Linked DNA regions of Schizosaccharomyces pombe. The protein of the gene in region 2 binds, or shares a complex with, the protein of the main gene of each other region. Each region holds a gene or a part of one and is shown on either strand. Other genes may lie near its edges. The genes, in order: mrpl17, mrpl25, rml2 and mrpl10.

What was found.
Region 1: mrpl25 (region 2) and mrpl17 share a complex: the UniProt entries of both Schizosaccharomyces pombe proteins name them as parts of the mitochondrial large ribosomal subunit.
Region 3: mrpl25 (region 2) and rml2 share a complex: the UniProt entries of both Schizosaccharomyces pombe proteins name them as parts of the mitochondrial large ribosomal subunit.
Region 4: mrpl25 (region 2) and mrpl10 share a complex: the UniProt entries of both Schizosaccharomyces pombe proteins name them as parts of the mitochondrial large ribosomal subunit.

Annotation. Positions count from the first base shown.
Region 1 is NC_003421.2:2,120,730-2,128,965, forward strand, and holds mrpl17 (mitochondrial 54S ribosomal protein mL46), read right to left. Parts: upstream 5,017-8,236; 5' UTR 4,932-5,016; coding exon 4,814-4,931; exon of another isoform or gene 4,720-4,813; coding exon 4,286-4,719; intron 4,138-4,285; coding exon 4,039-4,137; intron 3,972-4,038; coding exon 3,816-3,971; 3' UTR 3,404-3,815; downstream 1-3,403. Other genes in the region: pus1 (tRNA/U2 snRNA pseudouridine synthase Lsp1), read left to right, coding at 1-1,012, 1,078-1,433, 1,473-1,644; SAGA complex deubiquitinating submodule subunit Sgf73, read right to left, coding at 2,022-2,473, 2,545-3,127; twf1 (twinfilin), read left to right, coding at 5,221-5,245, 5,284-5,361, 5,425-5,792, 5,901-6,029, 6,085-6,220, 6,261-6,379, 6,422-6,553; ubiquitin-protein ligase E3 Asr1, read right to left, coding at 7,005-8,236. UniProt on the Schizosaccharomyces pombe protein: Component of the mitochondrial ribosome (mitoribosome), a dedicated translation machinery responsible for the synthesis of mitochondrial genome-encoded proteins, including at least some of the essential transmembrane subunits of the mitochondrial respiratory chain.
Region 2 is NC_003424.3:4,992,181-4,999,750, forward strand, and holds mrpl25 (mitochondrial 54S ribosomal protein mL59), read right to left. Parts: upstream 2,328-7,570; 5' UTR 2,265-2,327; coding exon 1,866-2,264; intron 1,755-1,865; coding exon 1,716-1,754; 3' UTR 1,444-1,715; downstream 1-1,443. Other genes in the region: lipin, phosphatidate phosphatase Ned1, read left to right, coding at 1-1,154; meiotic recombination protein Rec24, read right to left, coding at 3,850-4,583, 4,724-4,991; rga9 (RhoGAP family GTPase-activator protein), read left to right, coding at 5,437-5,539, 5,595-5,755, 5,808-6,554, 6,597-6,837, 6,888-6,974, 7,027-7,053, 7,094-7,492, 7,528-7,570. UniProt on the Schizosaccharomyces pombe protein: Component of the mitochondrial ribosome (mitoribosome), a dedicated translation machinery responsible for the synthesis of mitochondrial genome-encoded proteins, including at least some of the essential transmembrane subunits of the mitochondrial respiratory chain.
Region 3 is NC_003421.2:694,315-702,500, reverse strand, and holds rml2 (mitochondrial 54S ribosomal protein uL2m), read right to left. Parts: upstream 6,590-8,186; 5' UTR 6,580-6,589; coding exon 6,418-6,579; exon of another isoform or gene 6,394-6,417; intron 6,345-6,393; coding exon 5,418-6,344; 3' UTR 5,019-5,417; downstream 1-5,018. Other genes in the region: TATA-binding protein-associated factor TAF6, read left to right, coding at 820-951, 1,110-2,336; protein mug123, read right to left, coding at 2,756-3,463; RNA cap binding protein cbc3, read left to right, coding at 4,102-4,321, 4,374-4,626, 4,749-4,896; transcription factor TFIIIC subunit Sfc4, read left to right, coding at 7,656-8,186. UniProt on the Schizosaccharomyces pombe protein: Component of the mitochondrial ribosome (mitoribosome), a dedicated translation machinery responsible for the synthesis of mitochondrial genome-encoded proteins, including at least some of the essential transmembrane subunits of the mitochondrial respiratory chain.
Region 4 is NC_003423.3:1,819,423-1,827,460, reverse strand, and holds mrpl10 (mitochondrial 54S ribosomal protein uL15m), read right to left. Parts: upstream 4,559-8,038; 5' UTR 4,526-4,558; coding exon 3,761-4,525; 3' UTR 3,504-3,760; downstream 1-3,503. Other genes in the region: clathrin light chain Clc1, read right to left, coding at 1-298; Nop52 family nucleolar protein, read right to left, coding at 1,964-2,177, 2,360-2,648, 2,705-2,812, 2,857-2,899; U6 snRNP-associated protein Lsm3, read left to right, coding at 4,788-4,805, 4,847-4,939, 5,010-5,027, 5,082-5,196, 5,298-5,335; translation elongation factor EF-Tu Tuf1, read left to right, coding at 6,052-6,186, 6,238-7,422. UniProt on the Schizosaccharomyces pombe protein: Component of the mitochondrial ribosome (mitoribosome), a dedicated translation machinery responsible for the synthesis of mitochondrial genome-encoded proteins, including at least some of the essential transmembrane subunits of the mitochondrial respiratory chain.

The DNA.
Region 1 (8,236 bases), on a different chromosome or scaffold from region 2:
TAATTCTATATACAATGGAGAAGGTCGGCCAGAGAATTTGGTAGTTGGAGAAAAAAAGCCGAAAAGAAAGGTCGCCTGTCTTGTAGGTTATTGTGGTAGCGGATATCATGGTATGCAATTGAATCCTCCTAGTAAAACAATCGAAGGAGATCTTTTTGATGCTTTTGTGAAGGCTGGTGCCGTTTCTTCTTATAACGCTGATGACCCAAAGAAAGTTGCTTTAGCAAGAGCCGCAAGAACTGATAAAGGAGTTCATGCCGCTGGAAATGTTATCAGTCTCAAACTTATAATGGAAGATGAGAAGTTAATTGAAAAAGTGAACGAACACCTCCCTCCTTCCATTCGCTTATGGGATGTGATCCGTACTATTAATTCTTTTAACCCAAGGACTTATTGCGAATCTCGTATATATGAATATATGGTTCCAACGTATGCTTTTGTTCCACCGAAACCTTCGTCCATACTTGGAAATTGCATTATGAAGAATTCTCCCATGCCTGCTGAGCCAATTAACAAGGAAAATATAAATCAACTCAGTCGTTCATTATTTTATGAAGAAGGAAAGGAATTTTGGGATGATTATGATATTGCAGCCAAAGAGATTTTGAGCCTTTATGAACAGGATCCTGAAGGCTTCGTAAATCCATATTCTAAAAGGGGAGCTGCTGCTCTTGCTAATTCGGAAAATAATAAGGGCTCTGAAGCAGGAGTTTCCGCTAAAACTAATCCAGATATGGATTCCGATTCCTCTGCTATTGTAAACGAGTTTTTAAAGCCTGACTCTGTTGAAGACGAATCTGCTGGTTCCAAGATTGATCCCAGTTATCGTCTCGAACGTGCACTTAAGCACATTGAAGTACTTAAATTAAAAAATTACCGTATTTCCGCAGATAGGCTGTCCGTTATTCGAGAAACTTTAAACCAATATGTTGGAGTTCATAACTTTCACAATTTTACTGTGGGGCAAGCATTTCATCAGAAGAATAGTAATCGCGTGATCCGTTCTTTTACTGTAAGTAAGAATTATCTTCTTTGTATTTATAGTATTCTTGACAAGTCTTGTTTCTAACATTCTAGGCATCTGATCCATTCATGATTGGCGATACAGAATGGATTTCATGTAAAGTTCATGGTCAATCTTTTATGTTGCACCAAATTAGAAAGATGATTGCGCTTGCTATTTTAGTTGTACGAACGGGTTGTCCTGTTGAGCGCATACAAGATGCCTTTAAAAAAACAAAAATTAACATACCCAAGGGACCTGGTTTTGGACTTTTATTAGAGTCACCGTTTTTTAAAGGTTATAATGAACATAAAGCTCCAGAGAATAATCGTGATCCTATCGACTTTACAAAGTACGAGCAAAAAATTACTGCTTTTAAGCATGCTCATATTTATGATAAAATTTTTCTCGAAGAAGCTCGTAAACAAGTGTAAGTATATTTTTTTCTTAAATTAACTAACCGGTTTAGATTTCATTGTTTTTTGTCTTTTATTGACAGTTATAATGAAGAAGATTTCAGTTATTTATCAGATATAGGCATTACTGAAAAGACGCAAGAGGTTTCCTCAAAATTGCCTGATGTTCTTTCTAGCGATGAAGAAGAAGATTCGGCTGAAAACAAGGATGATTTAGAGGGCTAAAGGATTGATTGTGAGACTGAGGATTTGCAACAAACTGATACCATAAACTTTGCTGTTTCTTTTAAAAAATTAGACTACAAACGTGTACATATATTTTTGGAGAATACTTGTTTCTTTCTTTTTTTTAGAATTGATTATTGGTTTTGGGTTCTATTGGTATTTTTATAGTTTATTAACTTCTACTTGATTATTCCAAATGTTAAGACCGTATGGTGCAATATACAAAATAAAAAATGAAAAAATTAATGAAATAGAAACTAGATGAACGGAGGAGAAAATTAAAAAGTCGAAAATGCGTGGTCAAGTAGACCAAAATGTAAACTATAATCTCATAAAGAATTTAAATCATCAACCGAAGCAAAATCAAAAGAATTTCTTTATAGTGGTTGGCGGGCACTAAAAGGAATCACTCGTCCCAATATAGTACCAGTAACTTGCATACCCTGCTCACCATGTCGAAATGCAGCAGCTATTAACTCTCTAGTACGAAAATACGAATGGCGACGTTTTACGGGTAAAAAAACTTTTTGCTCCAAAGGCTGATTGCCAGATTTCTGGAGAACATTCATAATGAAACTGACTTCTTCATCAGAATCAACAGGCGCTTGATGCTGATTATCTTCGGATTCTTTTGCAGTTTCGAGGATTTGTCGTTGTATTTTTACTTGGTTTTTCTTTTGACAAGCTGCAAGCAAAACATCGTATGGCTGAGATCTTCCCGGAACGGCTCGTTTGCTTGACATTGAATGCGTTTTACATGTGAGAGATCTGGCGCACATTTGCCCATTAGGAAGCAAAACACCGCATTGCTTTTCAACATCCACAGGACCTTAATTGAATGTTAGTATTAAAGTAAACAGGTACTCCATTCTCCATATTGAACAGCATAAACCAACATACCTTTGACCTTTGGATTCTTCTTCTTGCTAGCCTCTTTCTTGGGAAGGGCGGATTTTGTAGGCTTTTTGTTTTCTTCTGTCTTCCGACGTTTTGGAGGCATTTCAGGATTCTTTTGACCATTAACTGAATTCTTTTCATGATTCCCAGCTGAGCCCTTAGCTGTCGATTTAACACCATTTTTGATGGGTGCATTATTGCCATTGTTGACATCTTTGTTTAAAACCTGAGAATTCGCAACAGGCTCAAATTGAGGCTTAGGAGGTTTAATTCCATTGCATGAGCTATGATGGTCCTCAATATACTCTGATAGGAAGGGTCGGTCGCATTTTGTGCATACAACATAATCGAGTTCTGAATTGTTAGGATATGACCCATACTGAGGAAAGGAATCAGCAGGTAGTAAAATTTGAGTTTGATTCGTAATGTTAGAAGTTATTTCATCCTTTACCTGTGATTCTGTATTATCAACTCTTTGATCAGCGAGTACATCTTTGGGTAACCCATCCGGGTATTTCAACAAAACTTGCTCATTTCTTTCCCAATTTTCTGGAAATAACTCCAAAGTCTGTTGTTCTGTTAACATTTTATTGATAAGAACCGAGTTTATAAACAGAATTCTACAAAGTTGCCCTTTGTCAATTCCTTTGTAGTGGGACTAAATCTGTAAGTCAAGTGTATGTACGGTTTAATGCTTCCAGAAAGCAAAGTCTATAATTGCATTCTAATGAACTTTCAAAGGATTATGCTGACACATATCATTTCTGATAATTACTAAATTATACAGACATTGTCTTTAAGGGCTAGACTATGACTGACAAAAGAATTTTTGATCTTGGAATTGAGGACAAACTACGGATATCAATTTTGATTAACAATTCTATTTTTTTAGGTCCCTTGAGCTAAACATAGTTTATTATTAAGGTGCGCGCTTTTCCCGTTTTCTCGTACACTGCCAAGAATCCACAGATCATGAGGGTGAGTAATCATGAAATCCGGACTCCAAAAGTAGGCGGCTGAAAATAAAATACTGGCAGAATCATTTGCAAATAAAAAGATAGAATAAATAAGGAGAAATACTTAGTGAAATTCCAAAATTATTTGTTTTTTTTTACATCGTACCAAAACATCAAAAATTAAGGAGAGAAAAAAATAGAAAACGTGAAAATTAAGCTGAAAAATGCAGTAAGATTGTAGAAAGATTGAATTTCCAAGATGAAATGTTCCGCTGTTTATTTTCCGTAGATTTTACATATTGTTTGCTCAATTGAAGATTACAAACGATCGGAAAGTATGTTTTTTACAGAATCCCATGAAGAAGGAGAAAGTTTGTTTTTCAGTTCATCGTACGTACACCAAACCCAGTCATAAACGTTTTGCAGGTTAGGTACATCTAATCCATTTAATAAACGAGCACGTAACAAGAAGGTCTAGAAATAACTGGTTAAACAAAAAATCAACCCAGATAAAATGAGAACAAAAAATCCGTAGTCTTACCTTTTCTTGTTCCGTTTTTAGTAATGCTAATGGATGACGTGCAACTAGCCAAGTCAACGAATTTTCGTCTAATATATTTTTTAAAAGATCTTGACATAACTACAGTTTGTTAGAAAGGCCAATCTGCAGACTATGTAAACAAAAATTGCAAGAGTATTTGATAAATTATTTAGCATCAAATCAATAGTAAGTAGTCTCTTGCACTATATTGTGTATCTTGGAATCGAATTTTAAAAAATGTACTTACCAGATGCAGCGCCTTCTCGGAGCTTGTAACAGGAGTGTTAGGAAATTGCCAACCCGAGCTTTTAGATTTTTTTACCAACAAGTAAAGGGACTTGTCAAGCGAGCGAAGAGTGCTTCGCTCATCGTTTTTCGTATCAGCTTCTGTGACTCTGGATTGCAAGTGAGTTGCAGAATCCAATAATTTGTTAGACTCCATCTCTTTCCTTTCCTTTCCAAATATCGTCTCAAAGGGTGATTCTTTACCTTTTAGTGTTTTTTGTCGTTCTTGCCAATCTTTTTCACCCACCGATCCCTTCTTGAAATAAAATTCTGCAGGTAAAGGATCACTCAGCTCATTCCAAAGTTCCGCATTATATTTATATATAGATTTTTCGAATTCGGATGGTTGGCGAGTAAGAATTGGCGATCTAATTAAAATTGTACCCACTGAACAACCTAAGATATGTTAGCAATCATGTACATCAAAGGTAATTTTTTTATTTATATTTAATATCCCTAGATAATTCATTTTCATTTTTTAATTCTGTACCTTTTAGAGGAGTCGAGTTAGACAAGGGTTTAGAGGATTGAATGGAATTTCGTACAGAAATGTGAAATTGACGCGAAAAAGACCTCTGCATATTTATAATATTTCTCTTCAAGTACATTGTTTAAACTTAGTCAATTTACGCCAAGTAAATCTCCAAATTTCGGCTTTGTTTACTAATCCGGTAAAGACCACTTGGTAAAGGCAATCGACGTTTCGCTATGGCTAGCACTACCACCTGTTTTACCAGCGTACATTACACGCTTCGTTAAGTACTGTAATATTTCTTAGAGACTCTGTTGCTATCGTTAATATGTTTTAATAGATTTCTTTGGATTTCGTTATAATTCAATTTAACTCACTTAGAATGGGGAATTGCTGACGCAGTAAACCTTTCAATCCCCATAACAATGTCTGCTTCCGTCGAATTAAAACGTAAGAAATTTGGCTAAATTCTTCTAACGTGTGGATAGCTACAGAGAAGTTCAGTAAATTTCTCGAGGAGTACTCTTCGGTACCGGTTCGCGCCGCCATTATTAGCATTTCTAATGGTAAGTTTCCATTCGGGCTAGAAGAGTAAATTTTAAGTTAGTTGAAGTTACTAAATGATTTAGAGAATTCATTTGACGTGAAAACAATGGTTGAAAAATCAGAATCGATAGAATCTGATTTTAAGAAAGTCCGTGAATGTTTGCTCGGATCTGAAGAACCTGCATTTGTCCTCGTTTATGATGATAGCAAGAAAAATCTATTACAATTAATTTCCTATGTCCCTGAAAATGCGAATGTTCGCAGGAAGATGTTATATGCCTCTAGTCGTGCTGCATTTGTAAGATGCGTAACTCTTGCTAAACTCGACGAGTCTTATTTCGCAAGTACTCCGGAAGAGTTAGATTATCAGCAAATTATGAAGAGCTTAAGCAAGCAAGAGGACCAAAGTCCTTTACGACAAGATGAACTCGAAAGGAAAGAGTACAATGAGGTAGGTAAACTGTATTGGGGTGGATGGATTTTTCATACTTCTTTACCGTGGCTCGTAGAATTTATAGCTTCTACTCTTTTATTTGCATCTATTTTAACAACTATGTAGTCTATGCAATCCTCAGTAACTCATAAGCGTCCTTTGGTGACCCGTGGTGTTGCTATGTCGATTGATGATAAAGCCTTAAAGGCTCTTTCTGATTTAAAATCATCTACAGAAAACAATCTTGTTATTTTGGTAAGGAAGCTATGATACTTTTGCTATGTATGGTGTTGCTAACCTCCTTTAAAAGTCTATTGACAAAGAAGTCATAAGTTTAAGTCAAGAAAAGCAAAATATACCTCCTTCTGATGTGAAATCCTTCTTTTCTTCCACCGAACCTAATTTCGCTTTCTATTCCCTGCCAAAAGACGGCTCTTCAAAAATTTGTAAGTACAGATGCAGGATCATTTTATTAACAAGGTCTAGTGTTTATATACATTTGTCCAATGCAAGCAACTGTCAAACATCGAATGGTTTATTCTTCTTCCAAACTTGGTCTTTTGGATAGTATTAAAGCAGAATTGGGTATTGTTATTGATGGCAAGGTATGTTTATCCCTCGTAGTAGATTTTATGCTCACATGACAGATTGAATCGAATGATGCCGCTGATATAACTGAAAAGGAAATTCTTCATGCTGCTGGGATATCAAGTCCTCAAGCAGAAACAAGCACCACCAAAACTGGTTTTTCGAGACCTCGACCCCCTAGAAGACGTTAAGCAAGTATATACAATTTTTTGCGGTTTCAAATTTACAGACTTTTTAGTTTATCAATCTTTTTCATGACATTTCAAATTCGAATTAAAACAAAATATACTACCAACGCCTATATTGAGCACACGTTGCATGCTATATTAACGGTCTCACTTTGCAATGCAAAATGTTATACTTCAATAAATAGAATAAGACAATCACTAGATCTATACATTGTTTCCTCTTTTCTAAAAGCGAAATCCTTAAAGACTCCATTCTTGACGAGTGTTAATCTTGCAAACATATATTGTTCAAACATTAAAGAAACACTATCCTTCATTAACAAAATAAATACTCTTTTGGAAATTGTAATTGACCTCAAAAGTTACTTTCTGATTTCCAAAAGATTAGATATGATATAATATTAAAAGCATATGCACCAAACCATAACTCCTATCATAAATACATAACTCATAATCAGTCATTTGAAAGAGACTGTATACAGTTAACAACCTTTTCCCGTATTGTCTTGCTTATTTTATGTTGCTGAGGTCCTTCAAGCGACAGAGTACCATCCGATAACGCAGTGTATACAGATCGACAGATATTCTTATTGAATAGAGCAAATTGATCTTTAGATATTTTTGCTTCTCGATAATAAGGCTTCAGAGCTGCGTTAACTAGCCGTTCTATTCGATACTTCGTTTCATAAGAGACTTTTTTGCTGGAATGCACCAAATCATGTCGGCCCGAAGTGCGTCGTTGATGCATACTCGTATCATTAACTAAATGATTATCCACAATTTCTCCTGGTTCCGAAAGTTCAATCAAATGGTCATCCAAATTATCATTACTGATTTCCCTAGGTGATAGCGGTACGTGAGATGGTCGAGGAGAGAGATTTGAGAAAAGAGGAGTCAAGTGAACGTCTGAAGTTCCATCCGAAGCTTCAGAGTGAGAATTCTTAATCTCATGTTGTAAACTTAACATAAAGGAAGTATCTATTCGTGAGGTGCTTGGCTGGTTGATGTTGCTAATTAAACTAGCGAGAAAAGAATTCTCTGATTTAGATGATGAATTATTGCCTAATACTGTAGAAGATCCTGAGGATTTATTAGAACAAGGAATGTGCCGACGAGTAGGTCGCTTTTGCCTCCTGTCGTGACTCGTGGAATTTGGGTCATTCACAAATCGAGTATCTTGTTGATGATGTTCTTCTATAGGCGTTTGCTGAAATCGACCCGACGAAGGTCGTGGGTTACTAATGGTAGCCTCAGTGGCAACGGAGTGGACCGATGAATTCGCATGTAGAATTTCATCAAAATCATTCCATGCTTGCTGCTCAGAAGCATTCGTTACTGGTGTCTGCACTACTCGTGGCTGCTCAACTGGCTCATTGAGCTGGTTGGAACGTAGACGTGCACTCTCAATACGACGTCGCAAAAGTTCAGACGAGACGTCACGAGCAGGCAGTCGTTCTTGTTGCATACCATAATATGAGAGATCTGAATTCAATGCATCCCAAGCTCGATTTCTAATGGCATTCCAAGCACGTGTCCATGCACGCTGCTGTTGTTGAGAAACTCGCGAGGCACGAGCAGCTGCTCCTACCCTTCTGCGTCTTGTCTGGCCTCTTCGAGAAAGAGAAATACGTGAAGAGAGTGTTTCATTTTCTTGATAGTTTAACAATACACAATTAGGGCAATAGA
Region 2 (7,570 bases):
CTGAAGATGCCAAAAAGTTTGCGGAGGTCTATGGACACAGTCCTCCTGCAAGTCCATCTCGCACTCCTGCGTCTCCAAAGTCCGATTCGGCTTTAATGGATGAGGACTCTGATTTAAGCCGTCGACACTCTTTATCTGAACAGTCTTTGAGCCCAGTTTCCGAGTCATATCCTCAATATGCTAAAACCCTTCGTTTAACCTCTGATCAGCTTCGTTCATTAAATTTGAAGCCCGGTAAAAATGAGCTTTCCTTTGGAGTCAACGGGGGTAAGGCCATTTGCACTGCTAATCTTTTTTTTTGGAAACACAACGATCCTGTCGTTATATCGGACATTGATGGAACAATTACCAAATCTGATGCTCTAGGGCATATGTTTACCTTGATCGGCAAGGATTGGACTCATGCTGGAGTTGCCAAATTGTATACCGATATCACTAACAACGGCTACAAAATTATGTATTTAACTAGTCGTTCGGTAGGCCAAGCCGATTCTACTCGACATTATCTCCGGAATATTGAACAGAACGGATACTCTCTACCCGATGGTCCTGTTATTTTATCACCTGATCGCACTATGGCTGCTCTTCATAGAGAAGTAATTTTAAGGAAGCCAGAAGTATTTAAAATGGCTTGTTTGCGTGATCTTTGTAATATTTTCGCCTTACCTGTTCCTCGAACACCATTTTACGCCGGCTTTGGCAATCGTATTACAGACGCAATATCTTATAACCATGTCAGAGTTCCACCAACTAGGATTTTTACCATTAATTCTGCTGGCGAAGTCCATATTGAACTGTTGCAGCGAAGCGGTCACCGAAGTAGTTATGTTTACATGAATGAGCTTGTCGATCATTTCTTCCCTCCCATCGAGGTTAGCACCCGAGATGAAGTCTCAAGCTTTACTGATGTGAATTTTTGGAGATCTCCTTTGCTTGAACTTAGCGATGAAGAAGAAGACGATACTAATAAAAGCACATCCAAGTCGCCCAAAACACCCAAAAATACGAAATTCGGATATCAAGAATTCGAGGGGATTGACGAGGAAGATGCTCAAGATTATTCTCCTAGTCCATTGATTAAGTCTTTCAATGAATTAATGTTTGAAGGTGAAGAAGATGAAGAAGGAGAAGAAGACGTTGAAAATGCTGTTTGAAGTTGCATTTTCCCAATTTCCGATGAAAAAAAAATTACTCGACTGTCCATCTTTTTTTTTAATGCCCCAAAATCTTAAAATCACTTTGACGAATTTCCGTCGGCTTTGAAATGCACTAATAAGCTTAGAAAGTTACATAAATCATATAATGACTTACTTACTCATTCACAAGTAATGAGTTTTGAGAAAGTGCTAAATATTTTTTTTATATTTAAATGCGCTCTTCCTAAAAATTAAAGATAACAAGATACTTCATAATGAAAAGTTACGAATAAATCACATTCTAAAATCCTAAGTCTGCAGATTCAAAACCTAATATTTAAATGTAATTTAACTATTAAAGTAGAATCATATTATTAGTAAAGATTACAAAAATGTATAGACTAGTATATTAGTCTTTTTATCATGCTGCACAATAAAAGACTTTTAGTAAACACATAATTGAGGTAATATAGCAGTAAATTTAAATGAATCTTTAAAAAAATTTAAGGAAGTCATAAACAAACAGGAATCAAAAGGTATTAACAGTATTACGTGAAACCCACTTTGCAGAAGAAGAATTTAGAAAGGAGAAGGTTTCGCTATTTTGCTAGCTTTTTGCTAAAAAGAGTGTTAATAAAGACAATTAAAAAAATAATAATAGTAAATTTTTCACAATCAAAATCAGTAGATAGAAATAAGAAAATCATGAAAGTACAACAGTTTACATACGCGCTCATTTTTAAATTTAGAAGTTTTCTTCAATGATTCCGAAAGTTTTAAACGCCTATTTTCCAAAATCTCATCCCTCTTTCGTTCACTAATTTTTCCTTTAGGATTCAGAAGACCTTTCAAAATATGGCGTGTAGAATCTTTCTGCCATGACATTTGTTGGGGGAGTAAATTATCCAGATTCTGAAGCCTGGCCTCTTTATATATTTCAGCTTGCCTTCTATTGGAATAGTAAGGGTTGATTACAAGGCCATTCTGAGGATTTCGAGTTGCGAGAAACGGATTTTGACGATTTGGATTTGTCGTCCATGCATTTGGATTTTCAGGCGGAAACTTTTTAAAAAAGTTTCCTAATTGGATAGGAAGCCGTTCCAAAGCTTCCTTGGTAAAGACTGGCATGATAAGGTTAAAACCTCTTTAATCTATAGAGAAGCTCAAAAAGACAGTGAGTCAAGCACTATTAGTATTAGAAAATACATTGACCTAAGATGTCGGCAAACGTTTAACTGCGCTATATTACGTTAAATCAATCATTACTGTTCATTCTTGAGTTCTTAATCGAAACTTTTCATCGTTTGAAATATTAAAAGAGTTTATTATCTCAGACAATTCTAAGCCAATTTATTGACTATTAGCGTTTATTAGGTCGGACTAATTCTTAGTTACTCAATTTAGTTCCAATGGATATACTAATTAATATAATATTACGGTGTAGCAGTACTATAGTTAATAAATACAAAATTATCCAGGGTATTATTTTATACAAATATAAAAATCACTAACATATTTCGTTATTATGTATATCGTTGTTAAATTAGCAACTATACAAACTCCTTAAAATATTTTACATACTGCGTAGATGGCTTCCTCTCGCATTAGTCCCTCTACCTTAGGCATCTTTGTTGGGTTGCGTTATTTAATTATTGAAGGCTGACAGTATGTGTGATTGTGTTCCGCCAACGTAGCATTCAAACGCTTTCAATCATTATCGTTTTTAGTTGTGATTGCTTCTATGATTCCATCAAATGAGGCCCGTTCAAGTAAGCTGTGTGTGGTTATAGAGTTTCTGATGCCAGTAAAATTATCATATCAGATCATGTACGGATTCCTACTGACACATGTTGAGAGTAAGCAAAAAAAGCTCAATCATGCTTATTTTGAGTATTTTAAAACATAAATAAAAGTAAAAATTATTGTAGGAAAAGTCCGGTCATCTCTCGATGACTCCAATTAGTGGAGAATATAAGAAATACTAAAGGAATTATTTATAATGACATGTAACGCAGTGTGACATAAAGTTAGTAGTGCATAGAACTGTTGGTGATATCAAGTTGACAAGGAATCGATAAGACGCTCTTTAATGTTGAATATTAATAAGCCCTGTAAGTATCCCTGTTCTTCTAGTTAGGTCTATAGCTGAAAAACCTTCAATTCTCTGGAGCTTGTGTGGTTTTATCCATTATCACTTCCTTCGATTTATCCCTCGTAAGGAATAGGATAGCAATGCGTATAGATCAAATCGCGGATTATGAATGAAGGCTTGTGCGATAAATTTCCTTTACTTGATCAATAATCTTGTTGTCAACGCGTTGTATTAAATGCGCTTTATTGGAAAAGAAGAAACATAGCTTGTTGATTGAAATTCCAAAGTTTCTTGTAAACGAATTTGGAAAGCACTTCTGTACTTGAAAATAATACAAATTGGCCACTATATATTCGCTTTTTTTGTTCCTTTGTTTCTTTTATCCATCAATTTTTAAAAGCAGAAAACCTTTCCCTTATGCCCAAGATTTAAAAGGGAACATAATATCAAAGTTCATCGAATGGATATGATGATCAACACTTTCACCACAACGTTCTTTGTACATTGAATTTCCAGAAAAATTCCACCAAATGTTGTGAATATTTTAGGATAACAAAAGGAGTCAAATTGGAAAGGCAAGAAATGAATGTGTGTTAAATAGTGGCCCTCAATATATTACTATTAGGAAATGTCTTCGGGAAATAGCATATCTTTGAGGCCAATCAAAAGGATGGATGGAGCAGAGTAGGCACTCTTAGACAACTCTTGTTTATCAGTTTGTAATTCTTCATTTGTGATTATGTCTCTTAAGATTTGGACACATTTGCTTGCGGCAGATGAAAGCTGAGCATCGAAGGAGTGTAGACAAGGGAAGTATATCTCAGCGTACGAAAAAAAACATTCACTATATAACAACCGGATAGATGGGTTATCGTTTTTGCAATATGTGAAGCATATTTTCATCCGTTTAACAATTTGATCTAGTAATTTTTCCAATTGCTCTACGGAAGCGAATGAGAGCTTGTTAAATATCAGTTGCTCCAAAAATACGTAAAATTCCAAAAATTTCGCTCTGGAAATCACTCCAGTTCCATTGTTGGCATTGTTTTGCATAATCGACTGCGTGATTATAATGAGATCCAGTACATAATCTCCCAATTCAACTAGTCTTGTTAAAACCAACGGCGACTTACAATCTCTTTTAAGAAACATAAAAATTTCTTCGAATAAAGTTTTAATGCGCAAAAAATCCGCACCCTCGTATACTTTTGTTTGCTTCAACTTTATGTCAGCAGTGCATTTTAAGAATCGAAAAAGTCCATTAAACGTGTACTCAATATCCAGATGCGCAAGGCTTCCGGATGTTTGCCTCTTTTCCTGAAGATTCTCGTGAACATTGGTCAGCAAAAAGATATCTAGATTGGATTGTTAACGAAAGAAAATTCATACTATTTTAGATCAAAAAGGCTTTCTTTAATATAACTAATGCTTTAGATATAAGAAGATATACCGGCCTAGTATTGATGGATTTAATAAGCATCGTGCAAGTACTTACCCATATCCTCGATTTTTTTAGAGAACGGTTTGGCTTTTAAAGCCACACACTCTGTAACATTACTATTTTTCAAAACAACATCTTTTTTCGTCTTTGGGCGCGGTTCCAATAATGTTGACGCGTATTTTTCGCAATGTTCCTGATCCTCAATTCCTTTCCGCAATGCTTCTATGTAGTCTTTGATATTTTTTCCTTTCGGTTTTTTTAAAATTATCTTCCATGCTATTGCTATTTTCAGTGTCTCTCCCGACGAATCGTACGTGTACATTGTCTGTATGAGTATTTGTTTACTATTGTCTTCAGTATTTGTGCCATTCATTACAGTTTACGATGCTTTGTACTGCACTATGTAATTTGGTTTGTTTACATCTCGTCGCGACGAACCCACTTAAATACCAACATCTACATGACTCTTTACAAAACCAAAATTACATATTAATCACTGTGAATAATATTTAATACCGCTTTCTTTGTAAGTGATTTTTTGAAGAAGTTTTTCCTTCAGTCCTTCTTGGATTATTTGGAGTTGTAGGAGAATTCTAATCCTCAATGTCAATTTACTGATTTATCTGTAATATTTTTTAAACTAACGTTTTTAGATTAAAAGAGAACTCTTTTGTAACTACCTTTAATCTATTAATTAGCTGGCACTCAACAGAAGTACATAGATATACTTAAGTGTATTGTACATCAGACATTTTTATCAAAAAGATATGTGGGACGGCTTTTCAAATTCGTTCTGGTCAAGGGATTATATTACGGGAATAAATCGTGCCCAACGTTTAATCAACGAAGGTGTTGAACAAAACGAAAAGCGTATGCACATGAATTCTTCTTCTTGTAATAACTAATGATTTAACAATACGTTTAGTATTACAGTTGTTACATATTAGAGCAAAGTCAGCTTCATCTTGTTCTGACTTGCTGTTCAAATCGTTTTCAAAATTCAATAAGCACCATCCTTTAAATGAAGAAAGCAATGATCTTCCTTCTGATGCAGCCATACACCAGCTTTATGAAAGCTATTTAATGGTATACTTTCAATCGTTACTCTTATGGTCATTATCGCTAATATTTACAATAGGAAGCGTCGTTGCACAAGAAGCTTGGGGAGCAATTAAATATATTGGTAATAAATCCTTTTGCAAATTGGTCAAAGAAATATTCTAGAAGGGTAGATGAAATCGTTTCAGCCGCAATTGTCAAAATAAACAACTACAATTCACGTTTCTCTCATGTAAACAGCAAGAAGTCTAATTTGACCGACCGAAAGCCAATTCCTACCTCTCGAAAATCTAATAAATCCGATTCTCTTGCTTCTGCTCTGTCTCAGCTGGATATTAATCCTTCTAACGTTAATAAGTTTGATGGGTTGATAAACATAGTTGATCATCCATATACCGCTGAGGAATTTGCCAATGTATTATTAAAGCTTATGAAGGCGTCTACTGTTAAAAGAAAATCTTATTCTCATCTCGGTGACTACGAACTTGTTACAAACTGCTCTCTTCTATTTGAAGCCATCAAGACAACATTTGGTTTGGAAAAAGATTCTTATGTCGTTAAAGCTGGAAACCAGCTGATACAACATGGCTTAATAAGGTTACTTGGCATTCGTCGAGTTTTTGAAAATGATCCGGAGATAGATGCTCAATTTACTACAAAATCACAGCAACTATTGAAAAGTTATCATTTGAGTATTCTTGAGGTCGATCCATATTTTCAAGTAAATGATCCTATAACAGCTACTAATGATGATCCTGTTTTACAAAAGTACAACCTTGCTTATGACAATTTAGAGCAATGCCGTCATGAATTAGAGTTATATTTGGTATTGAGCATTATTCTTCTTTCATTTGCTAACCCTTTCCAGTTTATGGTTTTTAAAGATTTAGAACAAGCTGAGCTTGATCGTTTGAATGCTGTCAAATCGGTTTTGGTTGAATGTTCCAACTATTCCGGTAATTTTATACCTAGTCTTAATTCGATTTTTATCGACAACTTAAATTCGTTTAAAAATCTTGATTCTTTGCGCGATATGTCAACTCAAATAAATAAACATTATACCGGTTATTTTATTCCGGTTTCTAACAACGAACTATCTACTAAAGATGGTAAGTCCACATTTATTGAATTTGTGATATCTAACCTATCTAACCTACAGAATACTTGTTTCTGCAAAAATCCAGCTTGACCGAAGATAATCTTATTGTTTCGTTGGTGCCTAAAATATTGGCTTATCTATTAGACGGTATTTTAAATAGTTTCTTTATCATTTGTTCAAATTTAACTAATATAATCAGCCTATTCTTATGAACGTGACGAAGAAGGTAAGAAAGTATTCACTTGAAAAATACTAATTTTTGCTAGTTTTAAGTTGTGTTTGGACTACCGAAGTTCCACTTAAAGATGCTTTTGACCTTAAAAGCGTTTTACGAAAGACAGATAACGTTGAATCTGTTTTAAATGCTTGTGTGGAAAAATATACACTTTCTTCAATTACTTGTTCTTTAAGGTTATGCCTTTTAGAATTTCCTGATTCGTTGATACGATCAAGTTTCTATGATTATTTCAAAGCTATCTACACTACTTATACAGACTTTGAAGACCTCGATCACCGCCTGTATTCAATTAAAAAGTGTCTTCTCCATCTGCACTCCACACCATTACATATATTGGAAGAAATAATTCGCCATTTATCTGCCTATGCAATCTCTATTCGCATGAAAGATGGTCAAATTCGACATCTTGCTAAAATAATTTCGCCATGTATGTCATTTTACAAATATTTGTCTAACCTCTAGGTGTACTCCGTCCTCCTGATGATTTGAATATTATACCAGTTGA
Region 3 (8,186 bases), on a different chromosome or scaffold from region 2:
TAGCAATGCGGGGTGACTTGCGGTGCAACTAGATAAGTGTCAACAATTCAAGTTTCTAATTCCTTTTAAGGCTACATTAAATTATATTTAGCTTGTAGAAGCAGTATATTGCGTTATACAGTATTGTGAGTGGTGGGTGATAATATATTTATCATTGTAACAGCTAATAACTGGACTGAGAATGATGCTCTGTTCAATCTAGACTTCTAATTTTAACTACTATTTTATATCAATATCAATGGATGTTTTAGTAAACAAACATATAGTCTTCTGCTATTGTTCAACAAATTGAGATTAATTGGTATTCCATGTAGTGTATTTTGATGCGTAACGTAATGTTTAATAGCGATTTTAGTGTAGCTCACTGTCTTGTAAGCTACGCAGTTTGGTATCTGATTTAAGGATACGTAGAACTGCGGTGAGTTTTCCTTGTGATCTATTATATTACAATACACAGGTTGTATAAGTAGCAACTGAGTATAGGTATTGTATTAACTGGGTTATAATGTTACCTATCACTAATATAGCTCATAACTGAACTGAGGAACGAGGTTCAGCAGTAGCTCTATTTATAGTATTCAGATAATATAGATCTTAATAGATTATCATTAAGATCAATCTCCATATCGTATCATACATGGTACGATATATAATTAGAACATGTGACATATAGTGATACGCAACGTAGTGTATTATAGCGTAGTGTAGTATTGCTGACAAGTATGTTAAATAAAGCAGTTGCTTCTAACATCGTTAACTACTTCTCTGCAGATGCAATTCACTCATTGATCCATAAATCGTTCATCTTACTACCAAGTCATGTCCTTGACAGTATGGAATATTGAATCCATCAAAGATGTTGCTGAAATGCTTGGGATTGGCAATCTTGCCGATGAACCAGCAGCAGCTATTGCAATGGATCTCGAATATAGAATTCATCAGGTGGTTCAGGTAGGTTTCGTGAAAGTAGACTATGAGATTTTACTTTCTTTGGAAGAGGCTAAAATAACTAAAAAATTGTTGCTAGTTTTTTACGATGCCTTTCAATTTGCTAGATAGTCTGCTTTATTCTGACATTAAACATAATTCTCTAACAGTATTTGATTTAGGAAGCCACTAAGTTTATGGTTCATTCTAAAAGAACTGTTTTAACTAGCGCAGATATCTCTTCAGCGTTACGGACGTTGAATGTTGAGCCGTTATACGGCTTCAATAATTCTCGTCCATTAGAATTTCATGAAGCCGCTGTAGGTGCAGGCCAAAATTCCCTTTACTACCTTGATGATGAGGAAGTGGATTTTGAAAAAATCATAAACGCTCCTCTCCCTAAAGTCCCTAGAAACATTTCTTACAGTGCACACTGGCTGGCCATCGAAGGTGTGCAGCCAGCCATTCCTCAAAATCCAACTCCCTCAGATCACACAGTTGGAGAATGGGCATCCAAGGGTACTTCAGGGGTTATGCCAGGTGCTTCAACTGCTGCTAAAGAAGCTCGAAACGGTGTCACTTCGATGGACAACGTTGAGATAAAACCGTTGGTGCGACATGTGCTATCCAAAGAGTTACAGCTTTATTTTGAGCGTATTACCAGTGCATTGCTTGATGAAACTAATGTTGAGCTCCGTGATGCTGCCCTATCGAGTTTACGTGACGACCCCGGATTACACCAACTTTTACCATACTTCATAATGTTTTTATCGGATTCTGTAACTCGAAACTTAGGAAATCTTGTGGTTCTTACTACTTTAATGCACATGGCCTGGGCCCTTCTTGATAACCCCAACCTTTTTGTAGAGCCTTACGTCCAACAACTCATGCCATCCATCCTTACTTGTTTGGTCGCGAAGCGCCTTGGCAGTGATCCTAATAATCACGAGCATTATGCACTAAGAGACTTAGCTGCTTTTTTACTCGGGATTGTTTGTGATCGATTTGGTAATGTGTATTATACATTAAAGCCTCGCGTTACTCGCACGGCACTCAAAGCATTTTTGGATAACACCAAGCCATATTCCACTCATTATGGTGCCATCAAAGGCTTAAAAACTATGGGGAAAGAAGCTATTAGAGTCCTCGTCGTTCCCAATATCAAAGTTTACGAAGTCCTAGTTCGGAAAACCTTGGAAAAAGGAAATGAAGAGGAGATTTACGAGGCCAATAAATGTATGGATGCTTTGTACGACGCTTTGCTATTACTGCGGGATGATCAATTACCAAATCAACGAACTCTTCCGCCAAATGCTAGTGGTCTTCTTGAGAAGAACGTTGGCAGTTTAATGGCTGAAAAGATAATGAAGGAAAACGATACCTCATTGCTTCTTGGTCTGCTAGAATAGTCTTCGTTGGGCATAAAATATTTGTTTTTGAACAATTTAATCTATGAATCTCGGACTTTAAAATATTTACCCAATTTTCCACACTACCTAAACCATTATAGGTTCTATAATTAAAATGTTATTGATATTCATGTTACATTAAAACAGGAAGCACCGAATAGCTTTCAAATGAATAAAAATAGAATGATGATAATATTGATATAGTTTATTTCATGTTTTGATTAAAGATGTGAGACTAGCTGACAATGCCGGGTTTTAAATGAAAGAAATACGTAATAGAACAGAAAGGGGAAGGAATGCTTGATTATGCCAAAGAATGCGAATAAAAGTAAACGAATTAAAGCAATTAAACTAGGTGAGGGAATAGCACCATAATAAATAATAATACTTTATCAGATATCGATGGAAAAATAACTGCACTAATCGCTATCGAATTCATCATTGTCCCCCATATTTGTGATTACTAGACGTTTCATTCCTTCTTCAGCACTGTCCTCGTCTGAAGATTCAGAACTGCTGCTTCGTCGATTGACAAGATAAGATTGAATATCATGAGTAGGTGATCCGCTACGAGATTCAAAGCCGTCTGATTGAGTAGTTTCGGCTCTGGAGTCTGCTCTTGAATGTATTGACATTCCCATAATGGAAGGTGCAGTCCCACTATGGGTTGAGCTGGCACGTGAAGACTCAATCATTGAGATATATGTTGGTGCAGTATTCGATGTCGAAATTACCAATTCGTCCTCATCGTCATCCTTACCTTCGGTAGCAGATAATCGTGGAGTAAGAATGGTGTGCTGAGGAGCCATTGTACGTGAATGAAGCGAAGCAGGACGGGTGTGATAAACACCATGATGCTGGCTAGAAAATACCCTTGAGCGCATGCCTCCTAAGCCTTTGCTGGAAGACTTCCCATTTTGTGATGAACTTTTGATTGATGGGCTAGAGTGTAAAGGAGCCACACGGCCTATATCACTCCAGACAGTCGCCTTTGCACGGCGTAAACTCTGTACGTAAGAAAAAGTAGAACCATTTGACTCATGGTTGCTATTAATGGCATTCGAAGTTGGAAGGGAAGACCTCGAATATGGATCATCATGGCTCGATCGAGTAGCTAAACGTTCCATGCGATTAGTCTTCTGTCTAGTAATGATTATTATCTATTTATTCCTTCTTTGAATAAGTTGCTTGTAGAGTAATTCCAATTAATTTTTAAAAATTTCACAGACAAATGCCGGGATTAGAAAACGAATGGTGTTAAGATAGACAATCTTTTATTTGATTAAGCAATCAGCTAAAACTAATTAAACAAAGCTCATATATCTTTGAAAAGCGCAAGAATTAATGTTTCGTACTGAAAATTGCAAATGTGCGGAAGCTATGTTTACATGTCTCATTCTCGAACATACGGTGTCCCAGAGGTAAATCTTATTAGGTTTTACTGTAATATCCCATAAATTTCTGTAAATAACAATACGCAATTCAATGTGCTTTAGCGTACTGTAGATTCTTACACAAACGAGCCTTACATGCAAAAAGCCGATTTAATCTCCATTTTCCTTCTTAATTTTAAATACAAATTACATTTGACTTCCGATCTTCACTCATTATAGGAGACTGTACCGATTACATTGCCTATAGGGATCTTTCATCTCTCGTTATTCTCGTATAGCAAATTATAGCGCGTCGTAATTTTCTTTGGACGGCACATTCACTCTTTTGGAAACTGCATGTCTGCGAAGCAGTTGTAGAGAAGTAGATTTAAATGGATATCGTTGCAGAGACTCAGATTGAAGAAGAATCATTGATACCCGACGCCACTAGTACTCCATTAGAAACGGAAGTGGTGGCTGATACTACATTGCGTAAAACAGCTTTACATCTAGCTGGCGTCGATAATCTTTCAGAAGAACAAGTCAAAGGATTTATTTCAGCTTATGCTCCTGAATCTCAATGTACAATTGAATGGATTAATGATAACGAATGTAAGAAGCGAAAACTGGCAAAGGGTTAGTCTAACTCTATAACCGCGTATAGGCAACGTTGTTTATGCGGATGATGATGTTTCACGAAATGCTTTATTTCATTTAATTATGGAGTCTCCGACAGAATTTTCAGAGGAATTGGAATATCAAACGAAACCACACCCAACTGTACCGACGTGTCAATTCAAAATACGTTACGCCCGCTACGGAGACAAGAAGGTTAAAAGCGCACATCTTTACTCGAGATATTATCTGTTTCACGGTGATCCTCGAGAAGAAAAGGCTCAGAAGAGCAAATCTAAAAGGTATAACTTGTGAAAACCAAATTAGTCCGGGTGCACTCATACTTTTCAAAAATCATTTCCTCTACTTTTGAGAATCTCCTTTTACTCAATTTTATATTCAAATTACTAACACTTTCGCACAGTAGAAATCAAGATGAAAGGGGTTCGCCATTAGATGAACGACTAGGTCCTAAAGTGTCTGACCTTACACTGATGGAAAGAATATTCCAAGTTCGACGCAAGCCACGCAAATCAAGGAGAGACCGTCGTTCCAGGGTTTCCAAGCGTTAATTGTGTTGTAGAGAAATATTAAATACCCAGTTTATCCGCTTTTAAGTCGCTTTTCGCTGGACGAAGGCAAGAAAAAATTAATATGCTAAATTAGCTACAATTTTATAAATAAAATTTTTTTATTTAGTTGGCCATATTAAAATAAAACCGTTCTTTTCTGCGTTTAATAGAATACTCTTTTGGTACCTGAATGATATCGATAACCCTTTTAAGGTAGATGTAAGCAAACGACAATTTTGAATGGGATAGTCCTTAGCTTTAAGCAACGTTGTGATGAACAAAAATTACCAATACAGATTTAAATTGTAAGAGCTAAACTCTTAAAAAATGCTTAAAATTTTTCGTCGATAAATGACGGTCGACACAAAATAACTATACATAAATGCATCTGGTCCACAAATGGATAGGTAATAGCATCGACTATTAAAATGGAGAAGGGATCATGAAAATTGAAATGCATTACGGTAATGTAAAACATAGAAATGTAAAAGTCATGAAGACAGAGATCATTAATAAAATGATTACCGCTTTTCCTTTCCACGAGGACGATCGCGGACGAGTAATTTATTAACATTTTTACCTCTTCTTGTTTTGTATCCACCTTTAGCCAAAACACCCCAAGGAGATTGAGAAGGTTTATTACCAATGCTTTTACCACCACCACCACCATGTGGATGGTCACATGGATTCATAGCTGTACCTCGAACCGTAGGACGAATGCCAAGCCAACGTGAACGACCGGCTTTACCAAGCTGGCGATGTTGCCAATAAATATTGCTTACAACACCAATGGTAGCAAATGATGTATCCAAAATCTTTCTCTCTTCACCACTTTGTAGACGAACGATAGCATATTTACCATCAAAAGCTATGATACGAGCGCTACTGCCAGCAGAACGACATAGCTTTGCCTTTTGATTTGGATTTACACCAATGGCATGAATGACAGTTCCTATAGGAATTAATCTGAGAGGAAAACAATTTCCTGGCTTCAAATTTTTTGCTGCAAAAGTTCCATCTTCAATTTCAGCAGCTAGGACGGGGTCCATTTCTACTGGCTCGCCATTAGAACCAGTCTTCAAAAGCGATCGAAAGCTCTCAACTGTATCGCCTTCGCGAAGCCCGTCACAAGCCAAAATATAACTTTTGTTGGCTGTTTCGGAATTCAATTTTTCAACAAGGGCAATGTGACCACTTCTACCAGGGTCATACTCAATTCTAATCACTCGATGAACACCCGGTACTTTTCTTTCAAAGTCAACAAGACGAATACGTTGTTTGTGTCCACCACCCTGATGCCTTACAGTAATTCTTCCTGTTTCATTTCTTCCACCTTTTTTTCTTTTTGCAACGGTCAAAGGTCGAAAAGGTTTCCCTTTCCAAAGGTAATCACTAACTGGTCTTTTTAAATGACGAAGACCAGGAGATATAGGTTTGTAAGTTTTAATCTTGATAAGAATTAGTAAAAAATGAATTAAGGCTTGATAAATAAAAAGTAACCCTCGTGTTAATATTACATACCTCGAACTTCGTTTTTGGTCGTAGAAGCATCCCTACATCGTAGGGTCTCTCGGAAGATTCAATTTTTTCACCGCTTGTAGATGCGGTAGAGGCATATCTGAACAGCTTTAACGCATGAATTTGAGGAATCAAATACCCCCGAAATCGATTATAACTCAACATGGGGATTTCCAACTAAACCTATGGTAAGAACTCACAATATGATGGACTGCGAATTAACGAGTTCAATCATAATTTGCGACGCTCAGTGCTAAAATCTTTACACAATCCAAGGTGTCGTTAACTGTGTAAATAAATGAACATTGATCTAGGGAATACAACATAGAGGAAATTGAACACATTAGCTATAATAATGAAGAACTTTGTTTTATTGTTTGATCATCTGTGTAGTAAATATTTTATACATTGTAAACCCGATTCTATACGTTTGAAAGTAATGGCAGGTCAACTGAGAATTTCAACCACGTTATAATATATTGGAAATTTTGATAAATTGAATTTGCTTTTCCTTCGAGTTGAGCAAAGTTAAACTAGAATTTACGACACCTGTAATAAGCCTGCTGAGCATGAAGAGTTTAAGGGATTCAAGGTATCAGGAAAACATTGCTTTCTCACAAAACTCTTCTCACATTCCTTTTTGGATGTGTGCTTAATTAATTACTAAATAAGTTCACATACCAAAAAAATCTTATTTAATATACAGTTTCAACGAAAAGTTTCAACTATGGAAATTTGTTTTGTTAACTCGTTCATTTTCGTTTCAAAACAATTCGAAGATGGGGTTGATCTGCGTTTGTTTAATATAGCTTATTAGTTTGCTTATGAAAGGTTTCGATACTATACTCTGTGTACACTGACAAAGGTCAATCAACATGAAAAGCCTTGAGATGCCATTTTCCAAAAAAAAAAGTGAAAAACACTATTTGATTGACTAGGATCTTCCAAATTCTTACAGATATTAGGTATTTTGACAACATCAAAATTGTCAAGTTTGCAATTCAAAAATGTTGCAAGTAAAATAACTGGTGTCAGGAAAAAAGGACTAATATTTATTGACTTCATATTAATTAGTCAATTGTAGAACAAGATATGTGGTACCCATGACCTCTTTGTTTATTGAGTACTTCTATAATGACTTACTTCAACTTTGCCTTCACCAACGCCAACGCGAAAACAGCCAACTTCAAGTAGGCAAAAGGAACAGACCGATTTGAAAGCATGATTGAGCATCTTAAAGGATGATTCAAAATGGTGGAAATAGCTATGTGGATTCCAATATGAATGAAACGCAAAATGATACAACTGACAACTTTGATGCTGAAATGCAAGATCTAAACGGGTATATAAGCGAAATTGTCGATGAGGCTAGGAATGTATCTGAAGTTGATGCAAAATTTTTGGGAGATACCTCTGCCCTTCAAGCTGAGGGCCTTTGGTCAGACGAAGAGTCAGATTATGAAGGCAGTGACGATGAATCAAACTTTAGTAAAACAGCCTCAAGAACCGAGGACGACATTGCGAACGAGGAATGGGAAGAAAATTTAAAGGCAGTTGCTGGATTTAGAAAAGTCCGTAAAGGTCATAAAGGTCGAGGACGTGTTAGTCGAGCTGATATGCTTCCCTCGGTGGAAGTGCAACAAATGTTGAGTTTAGCGAATCATTTGTTTGCGCAAGAAGGAAACTTCGACGAAGCCCAAAAATTAGCTGAAGAGATTGTTCGTATTGATAATAATGTCATTGCGGCTTGGAAAATGCTTGGTGAATGTCAT
Region 4 (8,038 bases), on a different chromosome or scaffold from region 2:
CAGGGGGATGAACTTCGGCTTGACCCATGTAAGGAGCTTTCGGAGCGGAAAAGGTACCAGAGGCTTGCATTTCAGCATCTATGGGAGGAAAGTTCTGTTCAAATCTAGTTTGTTCAGCTTCCGAATCATTTTCAAAATTCAACAACGCGTCTTTATCCTCCGGTGTTTCGAATTGTCCAGCATCCTCTCCAAGTGCCAACTTTTCGCGTTCCAAGAAATCAGTATTATTTTTAGAGTCATCAACAGGAGCGGTAACCAAACCGTCGTCAAAGTCTTCTAAAGCCGGAAATTGAGACATGGTGGTTGGTAAAGGTTGAAAGTGGTAGTATCTGCATCTAAGTAGACAGCAGCTTTGCTGAGTGTAGCATAATTTAGCGAAACGTCTTTTCTTTCGCTATTTATATTAACGTGTCAATGATATAAACCAAATCGTTAAATTCAGCCAGTATTTTATTTTTCGTTATATATCACTAAAAAATAAACATCTATAACACTGAGGTTTTTTTTCTTATAAAAAAATTCGCTAAACCAAGATAGATAGAAAGTATACCATCTTTTATAATTTACAAAAATGAATACATGAAACATAAAAATGACAGTGAACGCAGTACGAGGTACAGTTTTGTTAGTTTGATCAAGTCGGGAGTTTGAGATTTGTCAAATAGGAACGCCAAGACATTAAAGCAAACACTGTTCAAGGATCTTATAACTACCGAATTATTAGTGACTCCGGTCGCATTTAGTATGAAAATTAAATGCTTTAGGAAGAAGTTTCAGTTGAAATAATATAACGTGCAACATTCACTTTCTTGTCCAACGTTAAAATAATATAATATATCAGATTAATGCGTTAATGTAAGCTACGCAGTTTGGTATCTGATTTAAGGATACATAGAACTGCGGTGAGTTTTCCTTGTGATCTATTATATTACAATACACAGGTTGTATGAGTAGCAACTGAGTATAGGTATTGTATTAACTAGGTTATAATGTTACCTATCACTAATATAGCTTATAACTGAACTGAGGGACGAGGTTCAGTTGTTCTCAATTTATAATATTTGAAGTAGTAAGAATTATATCTGATAGTTATCTTATCATGAATGATATTATATCTCCATCTTGATGACTTATCATGTAATAGTTGATAGAGCAAATAGAACATTGTGAACATGTGACATATAGTGATATGCAACGTGGAGTATCATAGCGTAGTGTAGTATTGCTGACAGTTAAAACGTTTTTACATAGTATGTTTTAATATCTTAAACTCCTACATGGTGTATTTCTAGAGGTTAATTATGATATCGAGGTCTTACTGCAATCTGACTGTTTTACTCACAAAAAGTCTTTAAATTTGAGTAATTATCTTTACTCAACCTTACAGTTGTTGAATGTATTTGTGCGGCCTGATTGTACATGTACTATACAACTATGCATTCGAATGGGAGCAATGTATATGCCAATATTTATTGCTAAGCACGTCGGGTAATTGATTACGAATGTTCATTAGGAATGTTTAAAACACAAGTCAAGCAACAATCAAATATAACGATTCTCATTTGTCTTGTATAAACCTTTTTGACAACATAAATCAATAGTGGCCGTTTGGTCTAGTGGTATGATACCATCTTAGGGTGATGGTGGTCGTGGGTTCGATTCCCACAACAGCCCATGTTTTTACACTTTTTTACAACTTGATGTAAATATCGATTACTTATATCTTTTCACCTCTTAAGAGTTATAAAAATATAAGCACATATCTACTCTACATGAAGACGATCTGGATATTCTTAAGAAAGAAAAGAAACAGCATTACTACGAAACTTTTGTTGTAGGGGTACGGAAATGAAAAGTTCAATCATATGAATAATTAATGTCTATTACAAACCACAAGTTGTATATTACCACCAATATATTTTTTTAGTTCACCAAAACCTAATAAACGTGCCGAATCAATTAATTATTGTGAATCCTTTGTATATTCAGAAACCCGATCAAGACGTTTGGGAAGCGTCTTTCTTAAGACAACATTATGACTTGACTTGATTGTAGAATCAAAAGGAAGATACCAGTCCGCTTTTGGTACATCTTCTGGGTAGACTTTTCTTAATTCCTCAGTCCATATATCAGCTAAATGGAATAAAATCCCATTTGGAAAAGCAAGATTTTCGGTACTAAAAGCAGTTAGTAGTCTGTCCAAATAAACAGAAAAATGATAAAAATTAAGAAATAGCTATTCAACAAGTTTGATGTAAGCAGGAAGTAAAAGCGTTGCAAAACTTTTCTAAAAGTCTCCAACGCAAAAGCAATCTATATAATAAACAAATTCCCACACGCGGGAACGAAAACAACTTACTTAAAAGGACCATCCATCCACATCTGATTATATTCAGCCACTACTTTGTCCAGCAAAGCAGTTTTACTTCTTGTTTGAATATCCCGAAACGCAGCAGCACAAAATCTACGCATTAACAAGTAAAATTTGTCTGTTCGTAAAATATCAATTCCCGTCCATTCACGACCCATAGTTTCCCAAAAAGTAGATTGAAATAATATTCTATTGTCTATCCAGACAATTGGAACCAACGCGGCTAAATTATCTGAGAGTTTCTGTTGGTATAAGGGTTTATCAGCCATCCACATGCCTGCATATTAAAAAACAATTAGATGATTTACATTCATAACCCAAAAAAATTCATACAGTAAAATAAGCCCTTCCAAAGCTTGAGAAAGTCTAACCTTTCAAATTTTTTCTTTTGGCTTAAAAACCGCTGCAACGATTCAAGAGCCTTATCACGAGTTTTTCGATCTTACAGTGTTAGTACATTAATCATTTATATGTAAGAAATTTACCATTAGCTGCAAGTTTCTTAATAAACGGCGACGGAGCCGACATTGTTGGTTTATTGACAAAGTGTTGAAGCAGTTCTTAGCATCGTTCCTTCCATACTGCGTTTTAGTGCACTAATTGGAGAGTTGATAAATGTCCCTTTCTAATATATGAAATAAGGAGTTTCCCAGTCAATATGTATTATTTTTTTTAGAATTGACCGTTTATGTAGATTAATTGATCATAAGGTTAATGTACTACTATGGTTCGCTTACACTTCTATTACAAATGCCGGTTTTCTTAGTCATTCTTATATATAAGTCTTTAACCGTTCCATTGATCAACAAATGTTCTTTTTCTTCTTCCTTGCATGCCTTTGAAAAGGAGATCCTTTGAAAGATCTTTTCCTGTTGGATAGACAATCGGAGGATGAAAAAATTTTAAGAAAGCTTTAAACAAAAAAAGGCAAAAGATAATAATTTAACAAACAGTCGGCAGGGGTTCTTGATTATACAAAAAAAGTGCATGACTGCGAATGCTCAAATCTACTAATGAAGCAAATGAATAAATGTGAGAAAGGGTTTATCTGACAGAGAATGAACTGACTACAACAAGGGGATTTGGGGGATAAAGAAGGAAGCTATATTTTCGAATGAGAAAGGTATTCAAAATATTACTAATGGGTATTGAACTGTAAGCGAAAAAGTCAGTAGAGAGCTCAAACACCGAAATTGGAAACGTAATTATACAAATGTACTAAGAAAAGGATGCAGATATTTCCTTACAAAACTCAACATGTAACCCATCCAAGAAAGTAAAGGAGGCTGCACGGAATCATCAATAGACATAACAAAGTTTTAAGGACATATTAGGAAAGCGGGATTTTTGATGAACATATATCAAGTTCTGATGTAATATGGGAACTACTTATTTATCTTTAACAATCGGTTCGTAGGGGAATCGTTGGTCGCCATAATATAGCTCTCGAATATTTTTAACGTTGGCAAGATACCCTGCAAAATGTGGATTTGTGTAGTAGCGTATGTCTTTCTTTGAAACTGGAAGGGGAGGGCGAGGAGGTGTACGAAAACTTGAAGGATGCAAATGGGCACGTAGCGCCAACGGGCTGAAATATACTGTTGTTATACTGCCGCCTGCATTTTTGATTTGTTGTATAGCTTGAACTGTAGCCTTAGAAACTTCTATGGAAATTGCTGTTTTAAGGAGTCCAGGTTCGTCAGCAGTAAGTTCAACTCCATGTTTAATACCTCTACAGCATCTACTATCGAGGAGGTCTTTCATAGTAATTGTCTTGCTAGCATCCAATCTACCACGATCAATCCATTCCTGAACTCTCCCTAACCCCAGACGCAACGGTTTCTTCAAATGTCCCGTACTGTGACCAACTTTAGGAAATAATTTGGTGATAGGAGTTTGACCACCTTCAAAACCAGGTTTAATTCTCCGTCCACGCCTTTGACCAGATCCTTTATGACCACGTCCAGAGGTTTTTCCTAAACCGCTCGCAGGGCCTCTACCCACTCGCTTCTTTGACTGATAATTTGCACTGTTGTTTAAATCATTCAACATACTGATGCCGCGGAAACTAGCACCAAATCTTGGATAACCAGAGGATCTCAAAAAACCATGAAATGAAGAACTGCGACAAACCCGAGATAAAATATTAAACATTTTCCAATTCAAAAAACGGGTTTCGTCGAGTTTAGATGGTAATAAGTCCAAGGCTGCTGTTTACTATTACAAAAGATTCGGACACACACGAATACGTAAAATTCTATAGCGTCTCATAAAAATATCTTTATTACTATATTCAGCATCGCTGCACTGCGCAATTCGAATTTGTTTCCTCCTTTATTTCTTCCTGACATATGCCAGTGCATAATTGCAGCAACAGCGATCTTGCTTGGTAGATATAATAACCCTTTACTTTATAATGGAATCGGCACAGGCAGTAAGATTTATCAACAGTAACTCGGTAACTAATGTTTGTAGGTCGCGGAACCTCTTGATTTGGTGAGGCTTTCTTTGGATGAAATCGTTTATGTAAAATTACGGGGAGATAGAGAATTAAATGGCCGTCTTCATGTATGAAATTTTTTTAACGTTTCTTGAATATTTTTCTTATTCTGAATTGGTTATACTAACTCGATTGTAGGCCTATGATGAACATTTGGTATGAATCATATTCATAACTCGCATTTGGATGGATTACTTACACGTATTTTAGAATATGGTACTAGGAGATGCTGAAGAAATTGTAACTATTTTTGATGATGAAGAGACCGATAAGGACAAGGCCTTAAAAACGATTCGCAAACATTATGAGATGCTCTTTGTTCGTGGTACGTAGATTCTAAATATTACGCTCGAAAAGTTTGACCATGATTAAGCTTTCCTTTTCGAAACTGTTTTTCCTTTTTCGCCAAATGCTAATGAACTTTAGGTGATTCGGTTATTTTGATTGCTCCACCTCGTAATTAAAGGAACGAATAAAATTACTATACAAAGCTATCTACATATTTTTATCTCATTCTTTTGTTTAAAATTTTTCGCTTTAGAGGTGCTTCTTCGTACAATAGTAACGACTTTTGATTTGAGTATTCTATATTACAGAAAAGTTTGATTTTCCTTTATTCCGTTGGATGGATAGTTTTATCTTTCTTTAGTCACGCACCACTTCTTGTTATTCCTTACATCCTTTTACTTAATAAAAGCAAAAGACTCTTCGAAGTTAACCAACATTCACGAGACGCTGAGCTTTGTCATTGAGACTTTTCATTAATGGTTTTATTCTTTGTACTTGACAGGATAGTAAGCGATTTTTGCTTGCATGGTGGTTGCTCTTGCGATCTAGCAAAATCAGATTGACATTCCTTTAGAGATCAGAGACATAATACCATTCATTGTGCAAATAAAAAAAAACTATCAATTGCTTTCGATTTGGCGGTGTTGTTCACTAGTTCATCTAGTATTTTTTTATTATTAACAAGCGTATCATCATATATAGGCGTAGCGGTAAAATAGAACAAAATAAAATAAATTCTACAAATATTGATTGTATCCAAACACCCAGGACCATTTATTTCATGAAATGCTCGTGTCAATAGTATTCTCATAACGATGCGCACCGCTGAGACTTATTTCAAGGACAACACGAGCGCCAGAGACCTCTCCTCTGCCTACACGCTCCCTTCGTTATGAATTCAGCTAAAGCTACCTCTCTCCTCTTTCAAGGCTTTAGAAAAAATTGCTTGCGATTGAACCGCATTTCTTTCGCTTCAGGTTTGATTAACCGGTTCACCGTCCCAGCTCGAACTTATGCTGACGAAAAGGTATTTTTTTTTCATTCTTCATCTTTTTGATTACTTGTTAACTTTTTTAAGGTGTTCGTTAGAAAAAAGCCGCATGTCAATATTGGTACTATTGGTCATGTTGACCACGGTAAAACGACGTTGACGGCTGCTATTACTAAATGCCTTTCTGATCTTGGTCAAGCTAGTTTTATGGATTATAGTCAAATTGACAAGGCCCCCGAGGAAAAGGCACGTGGTATTACCATTTCATCTGCCCATGTTGAATACGAAACTGCTAATCGTCACTATGCCCATGTGGATTGTCCTGGTCACGCCGATTACATTAAGAATATGATTACTGGTGCTGCTACAATGGATGGCGCTATCATTGTTGTTTCTGCTACCGATGGTCAAATGCCTCAAACTCGTGAACATTTGCTTCTGGCTCGTCAAGTCGGTGTAAAGCAAATTGTTGTATACATCAATAAAGTCGATATGGTCGAGCCTGATATGATCGAGCTTGTCGAAATGGAAATGCGTGAGCTACTCTCCGAATACGGATTTGATGGTGACAATACTCCAATTGTTAGCGGCAGTGCTTTATGTGCCTTAGAGGGTCGTGAGCCTGAGATTGGTCTCAATAGTATTACTAAATTGATGGAAGCTGTTGATAGTTATATTACTCTTCCTGAAAGAAAAACGGATGTCCCTTTCTTGATGGCCATCGAGGACGTTTTTTCAATTTCAGGTCGCGGAACTGTAGTCACTGGCCGTGTCGAGCGCGGTACTTTAAAGAAGGGTGCTGAAATCGAAATCGTCGGTTATGGTAGCCATTTAAAGACTACCGTTACTGGAATTGAAATGTTCAAAAAGCAGCTTGATGCCGCCGTTGCCGGTGACAATTGTGGCCTTTTACTTCGTTCTATCAAGCGAGAGCAATTAAAACGTGGAATGATTGTCGCTCAACCAGGAACCGTTGCTCCTCATCAGAAATTCAAGGCATCATTCTATATTTTGACAAAAGAGGAAGGAGGTCGTCGTACCGGTTTCGTTGACAAGTATCGTCCCCAACTGTACAGTCGTACTTCCGACGTTACTGTCGAACTTACCCACCCTGATCCTAACGACTCAGACAAAATGGTTATGCCTGGAGACAATGTCGAGATGATCTGTACGCTTATTCACCCCATTGTCATCGAAAAAGGACAACGCTTCACAGTTCGTGAGGGTGGAAGCACTGTAGGCACAGCTTTGGTTACTGAACTTTTGGATTAGTGCATTTATGAACTTATTGGCTTTAAAAATTTTGCATGCTGAATACCAATATTATGTCCCTTCTCAGAATTCTATAACTACAGTGTCATTATTGTAATAAGACTTTTGCATCCATTGACAATGGTATTTGATACTTTTATAGTTTCTACTATTGTTAGCCAAAGTTATAAAACAAATAATAAAATAACGTTGAATCAATACTTTCACTCCGAATTTTAAGGATGGCTATTCAATTTACTAAACAAGAGCTAAATATAATGTTTTGTAGAACGAACCTATTAACTATATTACTACCGTTTTAAACAAACGCAACGGCGGGTCGAAAGACATAGTGAGACTAAGAGAAAGATATTAAAACTTAAAAGGGGGGAATTTGTAACAATTAAATGTGGGATAATACACAGAAAAATGAAAGGGAATCATAAACCTAGCAGGAAACGATAATTAGTGCTATTTTAACACGGCAAAAATTTTGTAGTATTCAATTGTTAAAAGCAAAAAAATCCTGGACGACCATTACTCACATATTGTAAATACCTTTATGAATTCGGTTTAAGTAAAGCATAGTTGAGAGAACCCGAAAAATCGGAAAGCAAATAGCCAAAAGAGAAAGCTA